Ovis aries: one gene and its partners. The protein of the gene in region 3 purifies or fractionates together with the protein of the main gene of each other region. This does not show direct contact. Links are inferred from orthologs where the notes say so. Each region holds a gene or a part of one and is shown on either strand. Other genes may lie near its edges. The genes, in order: SAP130, SUDS3 and ARID4B.

Region 1 (4,429 bases), on a different chromosome or scaffold from region 3:
AAAAAACCCCACAAAAAACGAAAAGCACAAAAACCAGACTATGTAAAGTCCCAAGGTCGAGAAAACTGGGAACTTATCGCTTATTCAGAAAATGTCAGCAGCTACTGTTAAGTAGGAGGAATACCATGATAAGGAGCACAGAAATCAGGCACTAAAGAAAGGAATAGGAAAAGGAGTACTTTATTTCACTTTACCAATACAGAAGTAATAATACTTTTTACTTGATATATATAATATACAGATTATTTGAAGGAGTAACTCAACTTCAGCACTGCTGATTAGACTGGAAACTTTGTTGGGGGTGGGGGAGGGCTGTTCTGCATCATGTAGGATACTCAACAGCTTCATCCAGGGCCTCTAAATAAATACCAGATGCCAGTAGCACCCCCTACCTGTGAGACCCAAAACTGTATTCAGACATTGCCAAACATTCCCTGGCCAGCCGAATCATTACCAGCTGAGGCCACTCACTGATCTACAGCCTTCAGAGCACAGTTAAAACCCAAGCTGCATATGTGTGTGCATACACATTTTAGAGAAATCTCTTTTCCTGAACAGTAAGTTACTAAAAGGCAAGTTTCTAAAAGGTAAGTTCCTGTAAGTTCCTATGCCTCTGCCCACCCTCATGGCACTGTTATTATACTTCTGGGCCTTAGTTAAATAACAACACATTAATACATTTAAAAAATGTATCTTATAAGCATGCTTTAGGTTTCACCTATACTCTGGCACATGTGAATCAAGTGAGTAAAACAGGACGGAAAAAAAGCCTTATTTACAGTAGAATTGTAATATATCCTTTCTTCAAACTCAATAACCTAGTATTTACTAAAACCCCACCAAGAATTTGCTATTTTTTAAGTTGGAAAACCTGCAATATTTTAAAAGCAGAAAGCAATGCAGAAAAATGTCACACATCTCACCTGTTGCAGCTGGGTTTATCAATCCTGCAGAACCACTGTTGGCTATCTGTGAAGGAGCCTGGCTTAGCCCGGTGGAAGGGGTTCCTAACCGAGGAAACTGTTGAGAACTCATTTCCACCTGCAGTGCATAGTCACATGGTTATTACTGGATTCTGAGATTAGAACCAATAATGAGAAATTAAAGCATTTTTAGTACCTATACCTTCTTTTAGGAAAGCAAATGCAGCATCACTGATTGAAACTAATACTTGTGTTCAACATACAGTGCAGAAGTGGTCCAAATCGTTTAAGTTTTCCGTGTACATAGGTTCAGTTAATGGTAAAATCGCTTATGTGATACTGAGGGCTATTATGACTTCCCCCCCCAAATACCTGTGAACTGCCAGACGAAAAAGTCGACACTACATCGCGTGCAACAGCCACATGACATGTATTAACACAACACATATATTTCTCTGTAAAGTTTCATGACAAATGGCTTGTGCCTTTGAAAGCCAAGCCTCCCACCAAGGTGTACAAAACTGTCATCAGTGTGTCAGGGGAGGAATCGGAGGCAGACGCCCTGTCCTAAGAAAGGATTAGAAACCTTACATCAAGACCTGATCCAAAAGGAATTCTCATGTTTTTCTGCACAGGCCTTCAGTGACGGATTTCATCCCACCCCTTTCACAGACGGCCATCGAGCCAAAGGGAACCGAGACCTTCACCACCTTCCCTGAAATCGACCCTCACTTTCCCCTCAGGAGCCAAGCTCTGCCGATATCCTCGATAGCCCGCAATCCTACCCCTACCCAGAAGCCCGAAGCCCACAGCTGAGATCGGAGAACACGGGTCTCCAGACACATGGGGTCTCTGACTTCTCCGGAGAGGGGTTAGGCATTCTGAGGAGCTCAGGACCAGTATGCCTCTTTACCTGCAGCCGCCGCCCGCCGCCCGCCGCTCCCGATTCCACCTCGCCAGGCTGAGAGGGCCGCGGAGGACCCATCTCGCTGGCAGCGCTGGGTTCCGAGGTCGCCGGGAGGGCTCGCGCCGCAGCGCGCCTCGGGCCCGCCGCTGTCCAGCTCCTCTGGCCCCGCTCACCCGGGCCACCCGGCCACCGCTCCGCTCCAGTCCTCTTCCCCCGAACCTGCCCCTACCTCCCCAGTCTGCCCATTGGCCCCACGCCGGGCGCGTCACTCCAGTGCCCGGGCCAATCCACCGCGGTCTGCCAGCTCTGATCCCGCCCCACCCTCCCGCCGACTGCCAGCCAATCAGGCGCGAGCCTCGCCGGGGCAGCCCAAGGCCCTCGAGGCTAAGCCAATAGCAGAGGAAGACAAGCGCTGCCGGCGAAAGGGGCGGGGAGCTAGGAGGCCCCGCCTCGGTCGGGGTCTGAAAGCGGCGGGCGCAGGGCCCGGATGTGGAGAGTCACTTTAAACTGCTCCAGGAGCCAAACTCCTTGGGCCGCCCGCCCGCCCGCGCTCCCCCGGCCTCTCAGCTTCCCCGCCAAGGCCCACGCCCGCCACGCCCCCACGCCCGGATCAGCCCAGCCCTCCCGACGCCTCTCCTTTCCCTGCCGCAGGACACCGGGCCTTTGCCGCCGAGCTAACTGCCATGCTCAGCTCGCGAAAGAGCCCAGATCTACGCCGCAGAAGACGAGGCACCGCTGCCCTTCCCCGGGGACGCGCAGCGGGACGGACGCTGCAGCCCGGCTCGGCCGCCCCGCCCCCTCGTCTCCTCCCCTCCCCTTCGCTCCCGGGCGCCCGTCCCGCCATTACTTGAGTGCTGCGCCAAGTGGCCGCCACGCCACTTCGAGCTTGCTTCCGTGCGCTCTCCGCCTGTGGAGCCGACGTCCTCGGGCTCCGGGACCGGCCGCCGCCGCCGAGGCGCTAGCACTCTGCCCCCCACCCCTCAACCCAGCGCCGCTGCTTCCGCCGCCGTAACGAGCCCCTCACCCATTGGCTGGATTAGGCCCCGCCCTCCTCCGAGGAAGCCAGTCGCCCCGCAGTGTGAGCGGAGAGCGGACCGGCCAGCCCCTCGCGGCCGCTGAGACCTCTGGGAAATGTAGTCCCTGATGCCTAGAAGGCGGGCCTGGGCGGGGCATCCTGGTGACCCGGCCCGGGCTGCACACCCCTTTGCTGTCTGGAGTCGATTCTGCCTTTTCCGTGTGCCTAGTAAAAACGTCCCACCCTTTTGCTTCAGCTGATGGCACCAGGTTTCATTTTCTCGAGGGAGGTGCCTCGCGGGAAAAGAGTAATGGAGGCCGACTACAGTGGGCCGAAGGAGCTGCAGGCAGGGCCGAGGGGTTTTCTAACTGTACTTGATGTTCGCACCGAGGCCATGGCCCGCGAAGCCTGAGCGTCGTGGGAGGATCAGATGCAAGAAACTGGAGCGACTCTGTGGGGTTTACGCTGGACTCCGCGTCAGCAGCTGCTCATCGGGCCGGACCCACCAGAGAGCTGAGCTGAGCACTCTCAGGTTTAAAGCCGGCTCGGAGAGGCGAAGGACTCGGACACGTTGTACCTGCTTGGTTTTTCCAAATTACGAAGAAGCGGAGGGAGTGGTGGTGGTTTGTTGTTTTGTTTAGAATGGAGGGATGGCGTTTATACGGCTGTGCAAGACTTAGTCAAAACTGCCGAAGCAAAATCTGAGCCTGATCAATAGAGATTATGTCTCCCTCCTTCCGTCCCAGATGGTAATTTAGGTCTGGAGTTTTGTGTTAAGAAATAAAAAGGGCTCACATCCTTCCTCCTTTCATGCACAGCTATGTTCTTGCTAGAAGAGCGTAGCTTGTGGCTACAGGAATGAACCTAAAATACCCCTCTTCTTCCTCAAGCCACTTTCGTTTCTCGCTCTCTTCCCTTCTCAAATTTCTTCTAAAAGTAACTGATGTGATCTACCTTAGCCTCTTCTCCTTAGGCAGTTGATTCTGCTTTTGCCACTGCTTCTCAAACTGCCCCCCCTAAGTTGCCGGTGACTCTCTCACCTCACCCAGTAGTCTTTGCTTAGTTTTCAGCTTGTCTAGTTTACCAACAGTAGTTCCTCCTTAAAATCTCCTTCGCTATGGGAAAAGAATACTGAAGAATAGATACATGTATATGTGTAATTGAATCATCTTGCTGTTCACCTGTTACATTTAGTCTTTTTCAACTATACTCCAAAAAAAAAAAAAAATCTGACACAACATTGTAAATCAACTATAAACTCCTTTGGTCTCCAGAAACACACTCTTTCCTGATGCTACTTCTGTCTCTATTAAGCTCCTTTATGCCTTGCCTTTCTCACATGTGCAGCATTCTCCAAGGCTCTAGACCTCTCTCAATGCTATGCCATCTTCCTGACTAGTTTAATGCGCCCTCAGAGTTTCAAGTATAATTTTCAAAAATGACTCAGTTTCATTGGTGTGGTGACCTCTCTCATGCTTTGTACACCTACAGTTCCACAAATATGTCTTAAAAACCCCTGAGACTTAACATATTGGACACTTTTATTGACTTGCCTCACCTCTGTACTCCTCCTCCTGATTTCTG
Region 2 (3,647 bases), on a different chromosome or scaffold from region 3:
GATAGTCCATCATTACCTTGGCAGCGCTTTCCATGCCAAGGGTACCAAACGGCTTGAGGAAGGACATCAGTACCTTTAATGCCCATGGCAGGCTGTAAGCACTCCTGTAGTCTATTTTACTGCGTCATAAATGATTTCCCTGCATTTATTTGTCTTTTCTACCCTGGCAGGCTCGGCCTCTTAAGTCACTGAGGATGTCTCCTGTCCCTGTTAAAATTCCGGCTGTAAAACAGCCTGGCTCACCAATGACTATTGCCTGTCAATATTTAGGATGCCAAATCACAGGTGAGGGGCTGACAGCCTTCCCCACAGATGGAAAGGGAGAGGCTGTAAACTGACAATGTTTCCCACTCGCCTAATGAAGGCTCCGAGCATCTGGTGGCTCTAGCGGGGATCGATGAGGCGTCAATGCCACCGGAGCCACATTGGAGAAGAGGGTGTGCAGGTCAGAATACAGCCACGCAGACTGGGACCGGACAAGGCGCCACTGCGCTCTCAGTTTAATCAAAAAAGCGCCTCAACAAGAACAAGACGGTGCTGTTCTGAAGATGCTGTTTTATATAGCATTCATTCTCACCAGGACATATTTCTGAGTTGCAGTCAGTGGTCTTCAAGAAATTCATTCCTTTTGCCAAGTCTTTCAAAAAGGAAGGTATCAGAAGAGAGATTTTTCAAGAGCCAGACCCCTACTTTAGACACAACCACATATCACTGGTGTGTCGTGGGGACTGGCGCTAGAAGTCCATGTCAGGGGGAGGGCCAGGTGGGCTAACAGCACCAGAAATACCAAAGGGGAAATAAAGCTCTAAACTGTTACTTCTAGCTTCAAAGTCAGCCCCGAGGACTTACATAAAACAAGGTCCTTCTGGAGCATTCAACAAAAATGAGACATGCCAGAGCCCCAGGACCTTCTGAACATGATTATAAGAGTAAATCTGGGGCTGCGCAGAAGGCATGCCATTTACAAATCCAAGTGACAAACTCACCACTGACGTGCCTTCAGTATTTGCTGGTGGAAATTTTGCCAAGTTCCAAAACAGCTAGTTCAAGCCAATTCCCATCCTGTATCCTTCTCAGAGTCATTGGTCTACATATGGCAACAGAAAAAGCAGCCCATATTGCTTCTCCCTCAAACCTGCCGAGTTCCCATATGCAGACGACTGAATCCTAGAAGGCCAGGGAGTGACTGGCTCCAAGTCTAACGTAACTTTACTAGCTTCACAGGAGAACAACTCAGTTTAGCTACCCCTGCTGAAATGTTCACAGTAACACCTGGGGTGAAGCAACAGCATAGATGATATAGCCAAAGCCTCTGTTCTCACAGTCAGGTCAAAGTTAAGACAATGCTTTTTCCATAACAAAGGTAGACCCCCCCCACCAAAAAAAAAAAAAAACAGAGGGATTTCCACCAGCAGAGCGGAACTTGGGCGAGTAATTCGTGAAGATAAGCAAGACTGGAATGACAGCTGACCCAGGAATTTTGTTAAATAAAGCAGAAGCCCGATGCTGCAGTCACTGATAAAGGTCTACCATTTAATTTACCAACACCTGTTATGTACAGGGTCCTGTACTAGGCACTCATATTTCTAATCAGTTTTGTGGAATAAGGTATGATCAGCCTCATTTTATAGAGGGGAAAATAGGCTCAGAGAGGTTAAGTGGCTTGACTAAAGTCACACAGCCAATACAAAACAGAGCTATAACTATGACCTGCCATGTCAAAGACTGTCCCCTCACCCCTCTTTCAGCTCACTCTGCTCTGATGATGAGGAACTGACAGGAGTCAGCACTGGAGTGCCTTCCTCCCTCAAAGACCCCCTCAAATTTCCCTGGATCCTGTTCTGTGGTGCTTTCATACCTCCAGTCAGTTCCATCGTTAGCTTTTCATTTTCAATCATTTTCTTCTTTTCCTCTAGCTCAGCAATTAAGTTCTCTTTCAACTCAACCTTCTTGTCTTCAAATTCTTTCACTGCCGCCTTCTTTTCTTTGATGTAATTTCTTTCCACTTGTTCCGTCTAAGCAAAAGAGAAACATAGATTGTGGCTATATAACCCTGGGAGCCAGGGTCTGAACACAAAGCCTTGTTCTGTGCGTAAGCACCAAGAAAATACCTTTTCTAGAAATAAGAGAGACAGCAGCAGTCACACACCAACGAGCAGTAACAGGGTGTCTAGGAGCAAGCTTCCCAATGCATGCATGAAACTGAACCACATAACTTCTGGTTTTTATGTGAATCCCTCACTTGTAATCAGGTATTTCCCTCTCTTCCACATCTTATACTTTGGGGCTTGTATGTGGAAACAAAACCTAAGTTTCTCAAAAACAGTAAACAAACCCTTTTGAAGATACAACTTCGAAGGAAAATAGTATATTCCAGATGAAATACCTATATTCAAGATGAGTTATAAGATACCAAGACAGCCTGAGTTGCCCTATTTTTTGATGCGTACAGTAAGGTTAGATCCAGCAGTAAGATAAAGACCAACAAGAGGACAAGATCACTTATTAGGTGCCTGAACCCAGAGAGACACTCAAACAGTGAAATTATACTAAGTAAAAAAAAAAATGCATAAGCATCCATTTTCCAAATCTCATCATTTCCTGAAGTGAAGAACAAGGGGACTCCTGGTGGGTATGGCTATGGGTCGTGTGACCCTCTGGGCCATGACTATGCGTGTTTGTGCTGACTTCAGTCTCCAATAACGTAGCTGTGAGAAACCATGACCACTCCCCCACCCTCCCGCTTCGCCACACACACACTGGCCCCTTAGGAGCCAGCACATCACCCAAGATTTGGCCCTCATCACTGCCTGTAGGTCTGCACCTCACATGGAACCAGCACTCAGGCATCTGCTCAGTCAAAGATCTTAATCAGTCTTTCCCTCCCATCCGGAGTTTCAAAAGGATGAAACTGAGCTGATTCAGAGACCTGGCTGCTTTGAGGACCAATATAACCAACTATTAGGCCATTATAATTCAGTGCGTGCATGTGCGCTAATTTGCTTCAGCCAGGTCCGACTCTTTATGACCCCATGGACCACAGCCCAGCAGGCTTCTCTGTCCATGGGATTCTCCAGGCAAGAATACTAAAGTGGGTTGCCATGCCCTCCTCCAGGGGATCTTCCTGACCCAGGGATCAAATGTGCATCTCTTATATGTCTTCTGCACCGGCAAGTGAGTTTTTTACCATGTACCCCCAAACGGCTGTAATGTGAGATGAGAGTCAACAAGAAAGCAGTGAGGGGTGAGTATCCATCTGTCAAGCCCCTGGGATAAGCACAGGCTGCCCCACCAACAAACAGAATTTCTGAGCTGAGACCAAATGTCCTTTAGTCAAACAGAACCCTAGTTGAGGCTTCCAGCGGGCCTCTGCGAACCCAGCAGCTATGTCTATGTGGTGATGAAGGAAAGGCCACTGGGTTGGGAGAGCAAGATCCCACCCTGACAAAGATCCTGCAAGCCCAGAAGACCCGTGGTACTTACTTCCAGCTGGAGGAAGAGCTCTGAAAGAGAGAAAACATGCAATTAGATTCGCGAAGCTGTACCACCTTTCTAGAGAGTGACGTTAGGATTCATTTAGAAGCAGTAATTGCTTTCTGAGAGCACCGTTACACAGAGCACATGTTTCCATCAGTAAAGTGTGGCTA
Region 3 (3,647 bases):
ATGCACCCTATTTCAGTCAAGCAGATTTGCTCATATTTCAATCATTGTTTCAAACATAAAAATTAATTTCTGAGGGTTCTGAACAAGATGTCATGCAAGAGCTGCCAATGCAGATATAAGGTCTTCCTGAAATAGCTAAAGCTTCCTAAGAAATCGCAACTTTAAAATCCTGCCTACTAAAGGCAAGAAAATGGGATGATTTAAGAAGGAAACAAGAGGTTACCGTGGAAAGGTAGATGAAAATGCAAGAGAGCCAGAAGCCTCATAATTGGCTTGTAGACCTCAAGAAGCTTAAATCCCTTTTAACTTTTAAAGAAAATTTTCTATCATTTTACCAACAATGTTGCCCCTATTAATCTACATGCATAAAATTAAAATCAACTACACAGACTTTAGTTTTCTAGACTAAAGTATTGAAAACAGTAAGTAGGAAGTCACTGAGAGAGGTATTTACAAGTCAAAACTCCATGTTTTTTATATGGTATACTATGACCTCAATTGGAATACTAATAAATCTATAATTCGTTAAATTTTAAAATAGAAAATTACTGTACAAGATTTTTTAGGTAGTAATCACTAGCTAAAACTCAAGTTACCTCACATTCCATCCGCAGTAATGCACCAAGTAAAGGACCTCTCCACCTTCGACATCAGAATCTTTAATACTAGCTTCATACATTTTTTGATTTTTCCCTCGTCCATACCGCACTTGGACTTTCATGCCTGGTGGATAGCACTCAAACTCCTCTTCCTCATTGTTGTCATCATCCTCTTCATCCTCTTCCTCCTCCTCCTCCTCCTCCTCTACTTCTTCATCATCTTCCTCTTCCTCTTTATTCGTTTCATCTCTTGAAAGGTTTAAAAAACTGCAGTTAATAAAAGACACTTCATAAGCTTTTCAGTTCCAAACCACATAAATTGATAAAAATCGTGGCTGTGATTGTTCCGGGAACAGCAGGTTCCAAGCGTATGATATTCTCTGAGTTTCAATTTAATATCAAACACTAAACCTGTATGAGATGGCCATGGATGATTACAGAAAGATATATTCAGAGAAAATGAAAACTGAAAAGTAAGTGTATTGAAAGAAAATGTCCAACAGGCAGAAGAACAGAAGTTGTGCTGAACAGCAAGAAACTAGCTAGTAAGGTCGACGCTAACATTTTCCTCATGTTTTATTGTAGAATTTCTTTACAACTCAGTTAACAAAAACAAAAATCATCGTAACTCATAGCCATTTTCTGACTAAAAAATATTTTTCATTCAAATATTTCCAACCTCCAGATAAAAGTTTAAACAAATTTTTACTAGCCAATGGCTAGTTTTAATAATTAAAATAATTTCAACCAGATTTTCTGAAGTTGTATTAAATGAAATATTGCTTCACCTTTTATAGGAATATCCTACTAAGTTCACATTAAAATCGCATCAAGTTTTTTCTATTCTTCTAAACTTCAACACAATTTCTGCTCTCTTTTCTCCATATTTACCAAAAGTCCTCTTCTACCAATTCTCTCAACTTTGAAGTTCTGAAGAAACAGGCATATGAGAGACCAGTTGCAAATATGAAACTGAAAGTCATTTGCATTCTAGAAGCAGCAACGCAACGATTCTGGTCTTCTCAATATCACGTGCTTTCTAAAACAATCATATTCATTTTATATTGATCACAAATTTGTATTCAATAAATTGGGGGAAAATCTTAAATTATAAATTTTCCATGCACTAGATTTATTTTTAAAAAACTTCAATTATTTACTCTGCAGTATGTCTATCCTTATTACAACAGTTTGCTCTCAAAAAGAATCCATCACTTTATAGCTGACAAATGAATAAATGTCATAAAATAGAACCATAAGACAGCTAAGTAACTAACCCTTAAAAGTTAATGGGCATAGTATGTAGATAAAAAAATCTTCCTCCACTAATAATTTTAGTTTTAAATTCTTTTATGCAAACTTTTTTAGCAATAACATACTTTATCATTCCTAATTATGCAATTATGTAGGCAACAAAAAATAAACTAGAAATACTGTCACAACTAGAACTGTAGGGCTTTTTTATTCCTTCTATACAGTGAGGCAGCAGGGATGAAGGGAAGCTTAATACACTTATGAAATTAAGTCTGAGTTCACAAAAGTACCAAATGAGTCAATTTTCTCTGAAATGCATCACAAAGTCTACAAAGATTCTTAAGAATTACTCCTATTTTAAAGACTTGTTTATAGTCAAATTGGTACTTAAAAATTAAATGAATCCAGCTGTAACCTGAGACAAAAAATATGAATTCTGCTACTGAAAATCTATTAACATTTCTATAATGAAAAAATTGTAAGTAAAGCTGAAATACCTAAGAAATTATCAGAAAGCCTGAAATATCTAAGAAACTATCAGATAAACTATTAACAACTTAACTGATTTATGTATACGTAATAAACATATGTAAAATTAACCAGTAAGGCTTTTTCTGAAAGAATACTACTTGTTTAATCAGAAGATTGTATCATTGCTCATCAGGGAGAAAAGGAAGCATATTCTGGTAGATACAACAAAGACGGATCATACACCAAAGAGATTTATCATGCATCTCAGAATCATTATAGAAAACATAAAAGAGATATAGATGATTAAAAGTTTAAAATGTTTTAAACAAAAACTAACTTGAAACTGTTCATTAAAAAACCATATAGGACTGAGGGCTTCCCTGGTGGCTCAAGGGTAAAGAATCTACCTGCCAAGGCAGGAGACACAGATTCAGTCCCTGGGTTGGGAAAGATCCCCTGGAGGAGGAAACGGCAACCCATTCCAGTATTCTTGCCTGGAGAATCCCATGGACAGAGGAGCCTGGTGGGCTATAGTCCATGGGGTCGCAAAGAGTCAGACACGACTGTGCGATTGAGCACACACGCACACGTAGCACTGAACACAACCGGCAAACACCAATAATAGCTAGCACAATCCTACTTTCAGTGGTAGCCAGGGCAATCTTTTATGTAATCTGGAATAAAAACCTAATACTCTGTATTAATTTTTAAAAGCAATCAAAAATTAAAAATTAGAATTTCTCATTTAATGTCAACCTCAGACACAAATCAAATGAGTCACTCAATAACACACTGAACTACAAAGAGGCAAACAACACAATTACTGGCCATCAGCCGAACCAAATATTCTCCCCCTCCTTCTCTTCTCAGTGGCAAAAATCAGAGGTAGATACATCAAAAAGAACACAGAATGTCAAGAAAGAGAGCCTTTCAAAGTATAAAATGTAGCTGGTATACTAAGCGGATGTATGTATTACACAAAAACATAAACACAACACACACACATTACATGAGTTATCTTTTACATTTTGGGAAACCAAATGTATCCACGAGGACTTTTTCATCTGAACTCACAAATAATCAAATTTCCCAAGTTTGATGTCACATTCCTTACTTACAATGGACCAAAATTAAGACCAAAATAACTATTATAGGTTATTAGTACCTGCTACGGGCCAGGCACTGAACCAAACATTTTACATAAATTCAATTATTTAATCTTACACAACTGAACTACAAAGGAAGGACACTGAAAGTTCTTGTACCAGCTAATTACTTAAGAGAGTTTATATACTAGATAAATATTTATATGTTAATTCTTCA

Evidence for each region.
Region 1: the proteins of ARID4B (region 3) and SAP130 fractionate together in Homo sapiens (co-fractionation; 4 studies listed by BioGRID, with this or other methods). This does not show direct contact. The link is inferred for Ovis aries from reciprocal best matches to the Homo sapiens genes ARID4B and SAP130.
Region 2: the proteins of ARID4B (region 3) and SUDS3 purify together in Homo sapiens (affinity purification with western blotting; 3 studies listed by BioGRID, with this or other methods). This does not show direct contact. The link is inferred for Ovis aries from reciprocal best matches to the Homo sapiens genes ARID4B and SUDS3.

What each region holds. Positions count from the first base shown.
Region 1 is NC_056055.1:117,447,854-117,452,282, reverse strand, and holds the start of SAP130 (histone deacetylase complex subunit SAP130), read right to left. Parts: upstream 2,838-4,429; 5' UTR 1,909-2,837; coding exon 1,837-1,908; intron 1,042-1,836; coding exon 924-1,041; intron 1-923. UniProt on the Homo sapiens protein: Acts as a transcriptional repressor. May function in the assembly and/or enzymatic activity of the mSin3A corepressor complex or in mediating interactions between the complex and other regulatory complexes.
Region 2 is NC_056070.1:56,885,145-56,888,791, forward strand, and holds part of SUDS3 (sin3 histone deacetylase corepressor complex component SDS3), read right to left. Parts: intron 3,504-3,647; coding exon 3,484-3,503; intron 2,016-3,483; coding exon 1,859-2,015; intron 1-1,858.
Region 3 is NC_056078.1:7,337,001-7,340,647, forward strand, and holds part of ARID4B (AT-rich interactive domain-containing protein 4B), read right to left. Parts: intron 867-3,647; coding exon 597-866; intron 1-596. UniProt on the Homo sapiens protein: Acts as a transcriptional repressor. May function in the assembly and/or enzymatic activity of the Sin3A corepressor complex or in mediating interactions between the complex and other regulatory complexes.